3 linked regions of the Caenorhabditis elegans genome follow. The protein of the gene in region 3 interacts with the protein of the main gene of each other region in a pairwise test. Each region holds a gene or a part of one and is shown on either strand. Other genes may lie near its edges.

Evidence for each region.
Region 1: the proteins of arl-13 (region 3) and dim-1 interact in a two-hybrid assay, tested with the Caenorhabditis elegans proteins (one study listed by BioGRID).
Region 2: the proteins of arl-13 (region 3) and rps-4 interact in a two-hybrid assay, tested with the Caenorhabditis elegans proteins (one study listed by BioGRID).

Annotation. Positions count from the first base shown.
Region 1 is NC_003284.9:8,055,138-8,060,180, forward strand, and holds the start of dim-1 (Disorganized muscle protein 1), read right to left. Parts: upstream 3,084-5,043; 5' UTR 3,076-3,083; coding exon 3,031-3,075; intron 2,748-3,030; coding exon 2,690-2,747; intron 2,643-2,689; coding exon 2,565-2,642; intron 2,494-2,564; coding exon 2,440-2,493; intron 2,393-2,439; coding exon 1,857-2,392; intron 1,230-1,856; coding exon 1,055-1,229; intron 1-1,054.
Region 2 is NC_003282.8:7,083,055-7,086,645, forward strand, and holds rps-4 (Small ribosomal subunit protein eS4), read right to left. Parts: upstream 1,629-3,591; 5' UTR 1,608-1,628; coding exon 1,349-1,607; intron 1,303-1,348; coding exon 903-1,302; intron 877-902; exon of another isoform or gene 818-876; intron 802-817; coding exon 681-801; 3' UTR 642-680; downstream 1-641. Other genes in the region: Y43B11AR.3 (TruB_N domain-containing protein), read right to left, coding at 1-47, 92-186, 318-553; deb-1 (Vinculin), read right to left, coding at 2,634-2,803, 3,013-3,045, 3,129-3,219, 3,273-3,374, 3,423-3,591.
Region 3 is NC_003279.8:2,063,965-2,069,600, reverse strand, and holds arl-13 (ADP-ribosylation factor-like protein 13B), read right to left. Parts: upstream 3,884-5,636; 5' UTR 3,853-3,883; coding exon 3,785-3,852; intron 2,898-3,784; coding exon 2,827-2,897; intron 2,767-2,826; coding exon 2,630-2,766; intron 2,426-2,629; coding exon 2,363-2,425; intron 1,564-2,362; coding exon 1,456-1,563; intron 1,357-1,455; coding exon 1,291-1,356; intron 1,245-1,290; coding exon 1,149-1,244; intron 1,097-1,148; coding exon 774-1,096; exon of another isoform or gene 733-773; coding exon 552-732; 3' UTR 507-551; downstream 1-506. Other genes in the region: rplp-1 (Large ribosomal subunit protein P1), read left to right, coding at 88-258, 308-472; moag-4 (Modifier of protein aggregation 4), read right to left, coding at 4,222-4,368, 4,432-4,533; rpb-10 (DNA-directed RNA polymerases I, II, and III subunit RPABC5), read right to left, coding at 5,042-5,151, 5,203-5,296. UniProt on the Caenorhabditis elegans protein: Cilium-specific protein required to control the microtubule-based, ciliary axoneme structure. Required for normal sensory cilium function. May act by maintaining the association between IFT subcomplexes A and B.

The sequences.
Region 1 (5,043 bases), on a different chromosome or scaffold from region 3:
GTGCAAAAAACTGGTGGTGAGCGAAAGAGTACACAAGAATGTGAAGCACAGTCCCAGAAATTTTGAAGCAGCCATCAGCACAGTCTCATTGTGTGCAATATGAAAAAGTAAACGGAAGGAAAAAAGAGTAAAAAGGACAAGATGAACAGTGCAAGTAACAAATTGTTGTGCGAGATCTCTGCGTAATGAGTTCATAGCATAAAAGAAAAGTGGTCTGGTCAAAGCGAACGAGTGCAAAGAAAACAAATAGTTACGACAAGAATACATAGAACCCCCAAACATTCATTGCAGAGATGTTCGGCAATGTCAAAATTCGGAAATGTTAAAATTGCCAACCTCTCAAGGTTTAATTATTTAATTTCAAAATATACGACTAGGCTTGTAAATTTTTGAAAATATTCAGAAAGTGTCAAAATCGTAGCTCAGTTTGGATGGAAAAAATTATTCGTTTAAGATTTGAGTTTTTGATTCGAAAAAATAGAATGCTATACCACTCAATTTATTATATATTATTTGACCTATCTATTTGTCTTATTTTCAATGAAAACTTTCTTCTATTAAAATCATACTAGAAAATATACAATTTGAGCATTCACTGGAAAATAAAGAAAAAAACCCTAAGAAAGTGATTGTATGTATAATAGTAACTTCCGAAGAATGATGCATTGATGCATAAAAACGACGGGACATTTTTATCGTGTTTCCCCCCAAAAAAAATTGTATGAAAGCAAATCCTGCGTCGTCAGTCGGCGTCACTTCAATAAATATATACGTACAAGCAGAAACCTCCCTCCCGACCAATATTGTTGACTATTCTTCACAACTTGTTGCTTTTTGCCCTCCTCTTTTCCCTATTTCTTTTCTATCAAGTACTATATTTCTATGTTTGTCGGGAAAAGAGCGCACGGTAATCTCTTGCTCATTTGTTTGTTTCTAAGATCATGGAGGCGCTGTGGTTGACACAGTGTGCAGACCATTCGATTTAATTTCCAATACTGTTTTTGTTTATTTCTTCGCTTATTGATAACTGACACAAGAACAAATAAGTACTCACCATCAAAATAGTAATCATCAAGGTCTTCACTCTCTGTCGATGTTCCAACTCTGCACTTAAATGTTTTCTCAATTTGAGTACATGTAAATTGTGAATGGACTATGTACTGTTTGCAGCGGAATTGATGTTGATTGAGATCTAAACGGGGCATTTTTGACGATCGTGGATCCTTACTCTGAAAATTACAAGCCATTATTTTTTGGGAAATTAATATTTTGGAATAGTTTTGAACACTTTTGTACGTTTTCATGTTTTCATTTTTTGCAGTTTTTGCTGTGTAAAACTTTGATATGAAACATGATCTGTTTAAGAGAAACTGTTGAGAAAATACAAGATTATACATTTTAGCTTTAAAAATTTCATGCAAAGCTGTGTAAAACACGGTGAAAAAATTTGAAAAAAAAACTGGCTGATGGGTGTTAATTCAAATAGAAATTGCCTACTTTTTTGCCAATTTATGTTTCAGTGACGATTTGAATGTTTTATTGGTTTTTAAATATGAAATGTTCTCTATAAGGAAAGTTACTAATAATTTTCCAACAATAAGAACTCTTTCAAAAATTATCTTGAAAACATATAACAACTGAAGTTTTATTTTTATTTTTTTGTTAAATCGTTATGTTTAGTAAAAACTTTACATTTTATTTTATTTTACAGTTTATTGGTTCTTCTTGGTTTTAGTTGGAAATATTATGTTTGAAATTCATAGAAAGTCGGTCATGTTTTACTTTTTCACTAACTTTTATTAATTTTTATGTCACTAAACTAACTGTTAGTTAAATTTGTAAGTTTTAAAACTCACTGGTAACAGAAGTGGCCTTTTTAACAGTTTGAGAGCCTCGGTTGCATTTGTCGTGTTGGAGGTTGACACGTCGATATTATAAGGTAATTCACTCTCTGTGGCTTTTTTACTAACATGCTGTTGCTTAGCACCTGTCCTCCCTATGAAAATTCTCTTCCTATGGTTACTCGTTGCATGCGTTGATTGCGGGGTCTTCTGATTAAAATCCGATGCGATATGAGACCTCTCATGCCTCTCTTCATCATCTGACTGCTCTCCAAATTTTTCTACCTCTTTTGTTGAAACTTTCGGTAGTTTTGTGTCAGTCCTGTCACTTAATTCTTTAGAAATATAAACTGAATTGTCATCAGGTTTCATTTTCACTGGTATTATCGTCACTTCTTTGCTCGTACTGGGCGGTAACTTTCTCAAATATTGCTGCACACTTTTGTTTGAACCATTTTTCGCAGTTAATTTTTTCTGCATTTCTTGGCGTGTTTTCATCAGTCTTAAAAAATATTCAGAATGCTTCGGTTTTTCCGTCATTCCTTTTTGTTCTGAAAAAATGAATAATAGAAACATTTTTTAACGTAATCGAACATACGATTTTGTGAAATGAATGTTGTTGGTTTACTTCTTGTACAAAGGTTTTGATTATCTGAAAAGTTAATTTTATCATATTTGAATTTTGTCTTTAAAAAAATACAAATCGTATCCATTAACACCTACTATATGATCTGGGTAAGCTGTAAATTGATGTTATCTCTCCAGGCAATGGGGTTGAAGTTCTTGGGTATTCATTTAGATCTGAAGTTGAAAAATTATAAGATAATTGACAAAAACACTTTACTTACCTTTGCTAGTGCATTTAAAATGATTATTGATTTCCAGATCGTCGAAACTTTCATCAGCCTGAGTATATATAATATTTAGCGTTTTATTCTTTTTTTTTAAAATTAATTAGAGTTATTGCTTCCTTATAAGCCAGAAATTTCTGAATCGGGAATGTACGCAATATGTCGTGGGGGTGTTTGCACAAGGATACTACTCAATAAGTGGTAACACTGCACATCTCACTGTGATTATCGGTTCTTATTAAAAGTGTAAAGACTTGTGTTAAGTGAAAACACCAAGTTATTAGAATAGCAAATATTGCATCGAAACGTTGAAATTTTACAAAAGTTTTGACACTTACCAAGATGGAGTCGGAAATTTTAAAGAATGGTGCTAACGATGCCATTCTTATGGAGTTAAACTGAAAAAATTAAGATTTGTGTTGTTAATTATAGAAAAAAGGACGAGAATTGAAATAAAGGATGAGTGAGGAAAAAAAAGCTTGATGGACGGAAAGTAAACAAAAACTGATACACAAAAAGTTAAATAAACAAAAAGTGAATGAAAAGTTTAGTAAGTAAGTAAGTATTGTAGGTAAACGGGAACAGATGACTTTGTGGTTTTCAGACAAAACAAAACTTTTAAGGCGAGTTTTTTTAACCATTGAAATAATGAAACAATAATTTGATTTGGCTTTTTGAAATCTACCTAATTGTTGTCAATAATTAAAGTCAAGTTTAACTGACTTGCAATTTTGTTTTGGTTTGAACAATTGGCATAGTTTTAGAATGTATATTGTTAAGTGAGAACTTTCATTGAAAAACCATTTTCTCATCTCTGTAATCAAAACCAACTAATTTCATAAAAGTCATAAATTGAAGGTTATCATAATTATGAATTGATCAATTTTTGAAGCACCTTCGTGATAAAACTGACCACAAAAAAACTAAATGATATCGGCGTGTACACATGTGGTGTTAGGCCTAAAATCCGATATTTTCTTTCTTTTCGATAACTATGAGATCATTGTCGGCGGTAACGGGAAGGGTGACTAGGGGTCTTTTGCAACCTGGAATTGTGGGTGACCGGCATCGAGGATGACCGACATCGTGGGCGACCGTCGCCGTGTAAAAAAAAACGCACAAAAATGTGTTTGATGAATTGGGATTAAACATAAACTGATAAACAAATAAGCTATAACATTCGAACTACTTGGAGTATTTGAATTCGCAAATGGGAACACTACTTCTGTGCATTAAAGTAAAGTTTTCAGATAAATCAAACATTATCAACAACTGAAAACATTTTCGATTTAAAACTTTTAATGCTACTTAGCTATTAACCAAAATTTGAAAAAAATTTAACTTACTTGCCGGTCCTTGTAATTTGAAAATTAGATAGTGATGTTGAAAAATGTTCAACAGCTTTTATTTTGAAATGAAATAAAAATACTAATTCTAATAAAACAAGACATTAAAAGTTTTCAAAAAAATTTAAAGGATTGGAATCGGTCGTAATAAAATCGGTTGCATTCAAATTACAATGAGAAAACAACTTTTAGAATATATCGACAAGTACAGTTGGGTAGCCAGCATGCAAAACATCCAATACTTTCATTTTTCGATAACTATGAGATTACCGTCGACGGTAACGGGAAGGGTGACTAGGGATCCTTTGCTACCTGGCATCTTTGGTGACCGGCATCGTGGGTGACCATCGCCGGGTAAGAAAAACCTTAGAAAAGGTGCTTAAAGGTTGGATGGTAAACGTAAACTAACAAACAAGTATGCCGGGACATTAAACTAAAAACTATATTATTTGAACATAAGTTCGCCGATTTTTCAGGATATTAATAAAAAATCACATACCGGAAAAAAATTCAATCAGAATTTCTAAATGAGATTTAATTATCACCAATCACTCAAGAACCGATATTGAAACATGAGTATACTTTGTAAAAAATTTTGTTGCTCCCAATTGAGAATTAAAAAACAACAATATCGACAAATACAGTTGTGCTAGCAACAATACCTAAAAATCCAATACTTTCATTTTTTCGATAACTATTAGATCACCATCGGCGGTAACGGGAAGGGTGACCAGAGGTCTTTTGCGACCCAGCATCGTGGGTGACCGTCGCCGTGCAAGCTAGAGATGCGTTGCGGAGAAGAGAATTAGACAACGCCAGAGTTCAACACTACGAGACGAAACGACATCACTATTCAATTCTAAACTGTACGTACTAGCCACCTGCCTGGAGAACCCGTTGAAAATCGACTTGATCGATATTTGGTGAAAGGGTGAAAAGTAGGAGACACGAGAGGGGGAAAGATGTCAATGAGGACAGGGGAAACGTATTTTCGAGAAAGTTGAC
Region 2 (3,591 bases), on a different chromosome or scaffold from region 3:
TGACATGAGTTCTGGAATACTTTCACAACCATCATTGACACCGAACACTGAAAATATCAATTTGTTTTGAAAATTATTAATTCTACCTTACAGCAGACTCCAGAACTATTTGTGGCCAACGGTAGTACGTCTACCAATTGAATGTCCTCTTGTCTGATTGATCTGCCAGACACAAGTGGATGATATCTGAAAATAACAGAACATTCTTCTCGTTTTTATGCAGATCTTGTGAATAACCAAATTTTTGGCTAAAATATGTTAAATTTTCCAAAATCAAGTTATTGCTCTAACTTTGATATATTTTAAATTACGACTACCTGTAATCAGCCACTTCATTCCGGCCGACGACTACTAGAGCGCCTGACTTTTCATGAGCTTCGATGACTGGGATGGAGATCAGAGGAAGTTGAATTCGAGAAGTAGATTCAATATCAGAGACAGATTCGGCGATCTTACGAGTAATCAGCTTGATCAACCCAGCGGAGGAAATTCCCGAGTGCTTATAAACACAGAGAACACCGGACAAAGACTTCCAAATATCAAGATGACCCATATCCAAAAATGCAAACTTTAAGACTAGTCTCATATCTCAAAGCGATAGGTTTGCTAAAACAATTTCCCTTTTGAAGATTAAGTCGTTTTTTAGATTAACAATTTTATTTTTCAACAAAAACAACAGTTTAGTGCTTCTGGGCCATACGCTTGTCACGCTCTTCGGCGATTGAGAGACGGATTCCAGCTCCAGTTGGGAGGGAGACGAGAGCCTTGTTTCCCTTTCCAATGACGAAGACGTTGGAGATACTGAAAAGAAAAATTTGAATTAGCAACCAACCTTAGCCGGACTTTTACGACCCTCGCGGCCCCCGACCTTCATTCTCCTTTAGCCTTTTAGGCAAACTTACCGAGTGGCGAAGGAGTGTCCAGCAGAATCCTTGATGTGGATGATGTCAGATGCTCCTGGGAGACGCTCACGATGTCCGATAATTCCGACACGACCAACGTTACGTCCTCCAGTGACGTAGGCCAAATTTCCTGGCTCGAACTTGACGGAGTCGGTGATCTTCTGGGTGCTGATGTTGAAAACAATGGTGTCGTTAACCTTGACATGTGGGTCTGGGTAGCGGATGGTGCGTCCGTCAGTGGTGGTGAGGACTGGAACTCCCTTGTTGACGGTGCGGACAGACTTGACCTTGCAGAGCTTGAAGTCGGCCTCGGCAGCTTGGATTCTGTGGACGACGTATCTTCCCTTGGTATCGTAGAGCATACGGAAATACTCGTTGGTACGCTCGATGGCAACGACATCTGAAAACGCGAATACAAAACTAGAAAGAATACAAATTATAATTACCCATGAATCCGGTTGGGAACTTGTGGCAGGTTCTGACCTTTCCGTCGACGCGGACAACTCTCTGGGTGAGAATCTTCTTGGCCTCGGTGTAGTTGAGAGCGTACTTCAGACGGTTACGGAGGAACAAGCTGAGTGGAAGGGACTCGCGGAGCTTGTGTGGTCCTGGGTTTGGACGAACAGCGAAGACTCCTCCGAGTTTGTCGAGCATCCAATGGCTTGGAGCAGCGAGACGCTTAAGATGCTTCTTTGGTCCTCTCATTTTTCAAGTGTGTACCTCAAGCTGGAATTTTGAACTTTAAAATGAGAAATCACGAAAATGTAATGATAAAAATAGTGAGAGTAAGCATAAAATGGAACAGATTAACTACATAGCACAACTATCGCTCAAAAATGATATTTAACATCGTTATTTCATTAAAATATGAAAAAATTAAAAAATTTTGCGTTGAGAACAGGAGAAATAGGAAAAATCTCTCTAAAAATTTCCTTGCGTCTGGCCTAAAATCAATTTCGCTGCGAGACCTGGCAGCTGTACAACTGGCTGTCCCTTGGACGCAAGAAAGCGTGCCCTGTCGCACTCTCTGTCGTGAACTCCTCTCCAACGAACAATTTTATTTATGCTGCGACACGATTTCGATGAATTTTGTTTCGTTATCAGTACATTCAATGAAAAATTTTAATAAATTAAACTATAAAAAATTATTTTTAATATGCTGAAAATGTTATTTCTATTTTTCTTGATCCTATCGAAGAAGTTCGTGTATATTCAGATTTTGTGTTCCATTTTCGTAGTTTAAGACCAAAATCAAGAAATTTTTTAGTGGTTTAAATGTTTTTATTCACAAAAAATCGATATTGTTCAATATTTCAAGGAGAAACAAAGGCGACTAAAAAAAAGAAATTGAAAAATAAAAATTACATTCTACACAAATTCGATAATTTTTCTTTTGAAAAACATTAAACGACCATTTACTGATAAAACTACTGGAAAGAAAAAATTGGAAATATGGGGAGTTTTTAAGAATAATTCCAGCGAAAGGCAGTTTCAGTAGACAGTAAATGAGTAGAAAAGACGTATTTTTGTTGCAAAAGGCACTTTTTCGAGGGATTCATGGGGAAAGGAGAGTGGAAGATTTGGAGCAATTTCAAACTGAAAAGTAACATTATTAAGAATGAAAAAAAATTATTATGCAAAAAATTTAAATGACTAGCAAAGCAGTAGAAAAATACATAAAATATGCAAAACATTGATTGAGAAGAAAGAGAATCGGTAATGAACGGGGATTTAGAAGTTGGACCACATTGGCTTTCGGAGCCAACGGAGACGAAGTCCCGAGTTGGTACGGATTTTAATAGAGGCGGCTTCAGCAGCACGGACAACATCCTTCACAGATTGCATCAAGTTTTGAGCATTATGCACCAATTGTTGCATTGCTTCATCATCTTCTTCGCTGCCTGAAATTCAAGAAAATTATTTTAAAGAGTAGAAAAACGGAAATATTAGGAGAATCAAGGGAATCGGAAGGTTAAGGCACTCGATGTTTTATGTTGTCGTTCAATTTTCAAATTCACGCGAGAATTGTTAAGTTGTATTAAAATGGGACAAAAACTTCAAATTCAATCACACAATTAGTTTCCGAAACTCTTGAAAATCAATTATTTACCCTCGACTGGTTGACCGTATGGGCCGATGACATCTGAAATGGGTTCTGATAATTTAAATCAAATTTGAAAATAATTAAAATAATTTCAACAACGAAAAAATAAATTTCCAACTCACTGGCTGATCCGAGCATTGTCGCCTTGACTGTTGACAAGACCTTCAATTGTGTAGCTATCGTTGGAATTCTTTCTGAGACTTGAAGGAGTGCCTGAAAATGAAAATAAATTTTAAATCTTTAGATAGAATGAACTAAATGCTCACCGTTCTCATCTTGATATCTGTGCAAAGTCTGGCAAGTTGAACTGCCAATCTGGTAACTTCTTCAGAAGAATCTGCGATTGCCTTGGAGCAATTGATGAGATCCTTTAAATTTAACATTAAGATCACTATCTTCTTCTCTACAAAACTTACTTTCTTAGTTCCACCTTCACCTCTAACCAACTGTGATAGTCTAGCCATCAGAATGGCCATTCTCTTCGCAGCCGCCACAATATCGTTCTCCTGTGAACTCCATTGTTTCAGTTCGTTGTGCAAATTGTGAGCAGCGGCAAGCATTGGCTGATGTGAAGCCTGTGGTAAT
Region 3 (5,636 bases):
TTGTGGCATTAATACTTTCTTTCAGCGTTCTATCAAACGTTTGTTCTCTTTGGAGCTAAGGCAAACCGCGCAACTTACGATTGAAGAATGGCTTCGAACCAAGAACTGGCTTGCGTCTACGCTGCTCTCATCCTTCAAGATGACGAGGTCGCCATCACCGGCGAGAAGATCGCTACCCTTCTCAAGGCCGCCAACGTCGAGTTCGAGCCATACTGGCCAGGACTCTTCGCCAAGGCTCTCGAGGGAGTTGATGTGAAGGTAAGGATTTCTCATAAGTATATTCAAGTTTCACCCCGATTGTTTTCAGAACCTCATCACTTCTGTCTCTTCCGGAGCCGGATCTGGACCAGCTCCAGCCGCCGCCGCTGCTGCTCCAGCTGCTGGAGGAGCCGCCCCAGCTGCCGAGACCAAGAAGAAGGAGGAGCCAAAGGAGGAATCCGATGACGACATGGGCTTCGGTCTCTTCGACTAAAGATCTTGTTATTTGTTTTCAATAAATCTGTTAACAACACCAAGAAAGTGTTTATGGCTTCAAAAGTGAAAAAAGGAGGTTATTTTGGCACTACTCGATTGTTCAGAACGTTTTGAATCCTTTGTATCCGGCTATATTGTCGACCAGGCGCTTTTGGTGGCAAGAAATAGTTGTCTTTCAGAATGATAGTTGGCTCTTCTTTAACACTGTTAGATTCCGGCGAAACAGGCTTCGTGCTTGTTTGTGAGATTCTGCAAAAACTGAAACAATCGGATTTCTCAAGTAAATTAATGTGACTCACTTTACAGGATCTCGTGGAGTTCCTGTTTCAGGCGTGCTCTGAATGATATCTGATGGTATTGTCGAGCTGGCAAGCGACATCGGCGGACTTTCTTCAATATGAACCGACGCGGACTTCGGATCCGATGGAGGATCAGGCGGGATCGGTGGTTGCACAGGTGGTTGGTTCCGAAGTTCCAGGCCAGCCACGTCGGCTTTCAAAGCATCGTGCTCCACTTTCATTTGCATCAGTCTCCGTTGTTCTTTGGCTTCTTCCTGACGGATCCTCAACGCCAACTCGGCGGTTTTAACACCCTCGGATAATTCCACATAGTGCTCAGAAATCTGAAAAAAAGGAAAATTTTAAAAATTCTAGAAAATGAAATGGGAATCCTACAGAATCGATGAATCTGACAAACTGCTCCTGATACTCATTTCTATCCTTTTTCGCCCTCGCCATCACCGTCAATGTGGCACTTTTTATGTTATCAAGCTGAAAATCGGTGGAATTTTGAATTTCTACCTTGAAGCGCACTCACATATCCGTTATACTTGTTGAAATGCGAGAAAAGTACGATTTTGTGTTGTCCCGCCTGGATTTTAGTCTGTGAAAAGAGGTTTGCGTGATAGAGAAGGAACACTGGGGGATGAAGAAGACGGGGACAGTTTACGGGAAATTATTTAAGTCACTCAAAGTCACTCACTTCATTCGAAATTTCCACGTCATCAAATTCTCGATTGTTCTGATTGTTGAGGAGCAGAAAAATTGGCTTTTTCTGCACATGTGGATTGCTGGTTAGGGAGTGGAGAGCCTGGAGAATGATAATTTTTTAAAAGTAATTTATTACCGAGACTTGAAATTTTGACCGAAAATACGGTATCCGGTCTCGACACGACAAATTTCTGTGAAATGCGAAAAGGTGTGCGCCTTTAAAGATTACTGTGGTTTTAAACGTTCTTTGCCCGATTTTTCATAGTTTTTCGAAAATATATGTGGTTTTAATTGTTTTATCACGAATTTCTGGCTTCCCTAGGAATTAATGGAATTTCCTCATAAATTGAAATGGAAGAGTTTGCCGAACTAGGCCAGTTTGGCTCGGCCATATCTGGGGTGGATCTACGGCGCGTTGCGTGTCGCATCGCGGCTCGGTTTTAGTTGTAAAACTACCGTATTTTTTCTATTAATATAGCTGCAATACTATTTTTCGATGGTCTTCCCGCTTGCAATACTAATAGGGAGTGCAAGACTATTAGGGAGTGCAATATTACACTCAAGATAAGAAAACTGCGTGGCGTGTACTGCAGAAAACCTCATATTTAGGCCCCGCCTTTTTCACTAATAGGGAGTGCAATACTAATTTTCGGAGGGTGTTCAAGGAGCAATACTAATAGGGAGTGCAAGTCTAATAGGGAGGCCATATTAATAGAAGAAATACGGTAAATGAAATTACTGTACTTTTGCCTAAAAATTTTTAAAGGAGCACACCCGTTTTAGTTTTTTGCAAAAAGTTGTCGTGTCGAGACCGGATAGCGTATTTTGAGCCTAAAAATCTTATTTCATAACTTTTAGGAATAATTCATAATCCTTATCAATTTCGTAACTTCTCTCACCTCAATCGACTCGGTGAATGTCTCATCCGTTGAATAATCAATCACATAGATGATTCCGTGAACCTTAATTTATTTAGAATAATTATAATAATCACGGTTTGATCTACAAAAATGCGGGAATTTTTCTCCCAAAAAAATGTGACGTCAAAACGCTCTTAACCATGCGAAATCAGTCCCGCATTTTTTGTAGATCCACGTGTAATAAGAGTTTTCAAAAATTCTCCAGTGTGAAAGTGCGCCCTATCGCATGCACACACACACACACACCTCAGCATAATAATTGCTCCAAATTCCACGTATTCCCTTATCCCCGCCAACATCGTAGATCGTCAAATGAAAAGTCTCATCATACTCCATTTTCACTGTGGAGAACCCGTTGGTACGGAGCAAATCCCGCGGATCTTCTGGATTAAATTCAAATTTTAAAATAATTTCGGATTGAGCGACGGAGCGCACTTGCTTACCTCCCTTGAGAACTTTCAAAAATGTGGTTTTTCCGGCGCTTCCGATGCCAAAACATCCGAGTTTGATTTCTCTGAAAAAAAACCTATTGGGTCTCGGCACGATCTATGGGAATTCATCAAACTAAAAATATTGCTCAGATGCGGAAACTTGCGGATTTGCGTCTCGACACGACAATTTTTGTAAATTGCAAAACGGTGTGCGCCTTTAAAGAGTACTGTAATTTCTGGGTTTCGTTGATGTGTAATTCTCATGTGGGAAAATTGCTTTAAAACACGCATATGGCGTCACAATGACCGAATATCATGATAAAAAAATTCAAAAATTTTTTCTAGATTTTATATGATTTTTTGAAAATTGAAAAAATCTCAGTTTTCCCCTAATTCCTATTTGAATTTCCGCCAATTGAACTTGTTCGATGGAGCGCACTTGCATTATTTTTATTTATTTATTTTATTTTTCTTATTTTTCGGCCTATTTTCTTCATTTTTTTGTGTTTTTTATCGGAAAATGCGAGAAATAAACTAGAAAAATGCAAAATGCTTGTTAAAAAGTAACTGAAAATGCCTAAAACTGTAAAATATACTAATTTCAGGCTTGTCGTCGGAAATCATAATTTTACAGTTTTACGCCTTTTCAATTATTTTTTAACAAACATTCTGCAATTACCTTGTTTTGTCATTTTAATTTCCATTAAAAACGCAAAAAAAAAGAAAATCAGTGGAGAATAAATAAAATAAATGAATAAAAATAATTTTTAATATATTTTCATGGCAAAAATCGATCGGAAAATATTAAAAATAGCTGAATTTTCGACTTTAAATATAATTTTTTTTCCAAAAAACCTCGAATAAGGAAACATTTTTGGATTTTCCGTTTTACATCTTCAAAATTTCATAAAAAATGCTTTCAAGCAAACGATTTTCATTTAAAAAAATAAGCCTAAGAATATCGAATTACCGTCTGATAATAGGTGTACGATGGCAACAACAGCAGAAAATAGTTTCGAACCACGACTTTTCGGTCATTTCTTCTCACTTTCTACGCATTTCCTTGCGGTAAAGTGTGTGGTGTCGAAATCGAGGAGATTAGTTACGCAAGAAGTTGCTCTCGGCTTTCACGAGCGGCGGTTGCCATAGTTACCAGAGCCCGAGAGAGCACAAGAATTGTGGAGAGAAGCCGCGGGGTGGGAGGAAGAGATGAGGTGAGGCGGCGGCCGAAGAAGACAATCAGAAACTGGCTCTGATAATGATTAGGTTGGCGAGCTGCCAAGTGATCATACATTTTTCAGGAGAAGGAGACAGAGGCATTCATTTTTTTGGGAAACCCATACGATGTTTTTTTAAATACGAATAAAATAAAACAAAAATGATCAAAAAAAAGTGAGAATTAATCAATCACATCTTCAATGGGTCCACTTTGGCGACCTTCTTTGCGTTTGCAGCAGCTGCAGCGGCTTCGGCTTCTTTCTTGGCTGCCGCTTTCTCCTGCTTGATACGCATGACGTCAGCGTCGCGATTCATGCGAGCATCCATCGATAGACCCTGGAATATTTATTTGCAACTGGATATATATATGTGATTTGGAAATTTGAAATGAAAACTTACAGCATTTCCGTCTTGTCCAGAGGCTCCCTGGCGCTTCTTTTGATCGGCCAGTTTCTTTTGGTTCTTCTCACGAGCCAGATCTCTTTGATTTCCACGAGTCATTTTTGTTGGAGTTGTGCTGCTCAAAAACTGTGTTTCTCGGATCACACCGGAGCGCCGTCAGCGATGGACAAAGCCGCCGTATACGAGGTTTTCTGGAAGAAAAAAACAAAGAATCGATAAGAAAGTGTCGTGAACGCAGACCGTCTCGGTGACATAAATGACCGAGATTAGGAAATGCGCGGGATAAATGAGAGACGTCAGAATGATAGACAGTCTGACTAGCGGACACGTGGAACTTTTTGAAGGAAAACTTGTGGAAGGAGGTGTAGTTTAGGAAATTCTCAAATTCTCGCAAAATAATCACATCACATGGACAAATAAAGAATGAGCTGTGAACTCAATTATACAATATGACAAAAATTAAATTTAAAAAGCAAACTTGAATCAAATGTTTCATCAAATTTTGAGAAATTAGTGAAGAAAAAGAGGAAAAACGGTGGAAAAAAGTAAAAATTGAGATTCGGCCACAACAAAACAGAAAAACAACAACAATTGAAAGGGGCTCCGATTACTTTTCCAGCGGATGGTAGTTGAGAAGCTTCTCGATGAGATCCACGTGAGCCAGAAGCATTCTTCGGCAACAGTAGCGACGAAGACCGAGCGCGTCGAGAGCATCTCCTGAGAGAAACGAGATTTTTTTCATTCAGTAAATCCGAGAATTTTAAAAACCTTCACTGTATTCCGACTGCAAGAATCCGAGATACGTCTCCCACTTGTCGCCGATGACTTTGCCGCATGTGAAGCATCTGATTGGGATAATCATCTTGTGATTTTGCTGAAATTTTCGAAAATTGAAGATGAAAACTGCACTTTTTCGAGATTTTTGGTGAAGTTTTGAACGAAACACTTTTGCCACAAGCTAATTGTAAAGTTTTTGAAGAGAAACTTCAAGAAAATCAAGTTAAATCACAAAAAATGGGGGCAGAAATTCTAGAAATTGAAAATTGTTCAAAATACGCAATGCGCGTGAAATATGGTGTTTTCAGTGCATTTGTCACAGCGGTGTTTGCACAGTTGTCGACCGTAGTTGCAGCAAAGATTTTAAAATTGGTTTTCCAATTTTCTTTTCGAATTTTTTTGTTTCAAGATCGAATTGCAAATTA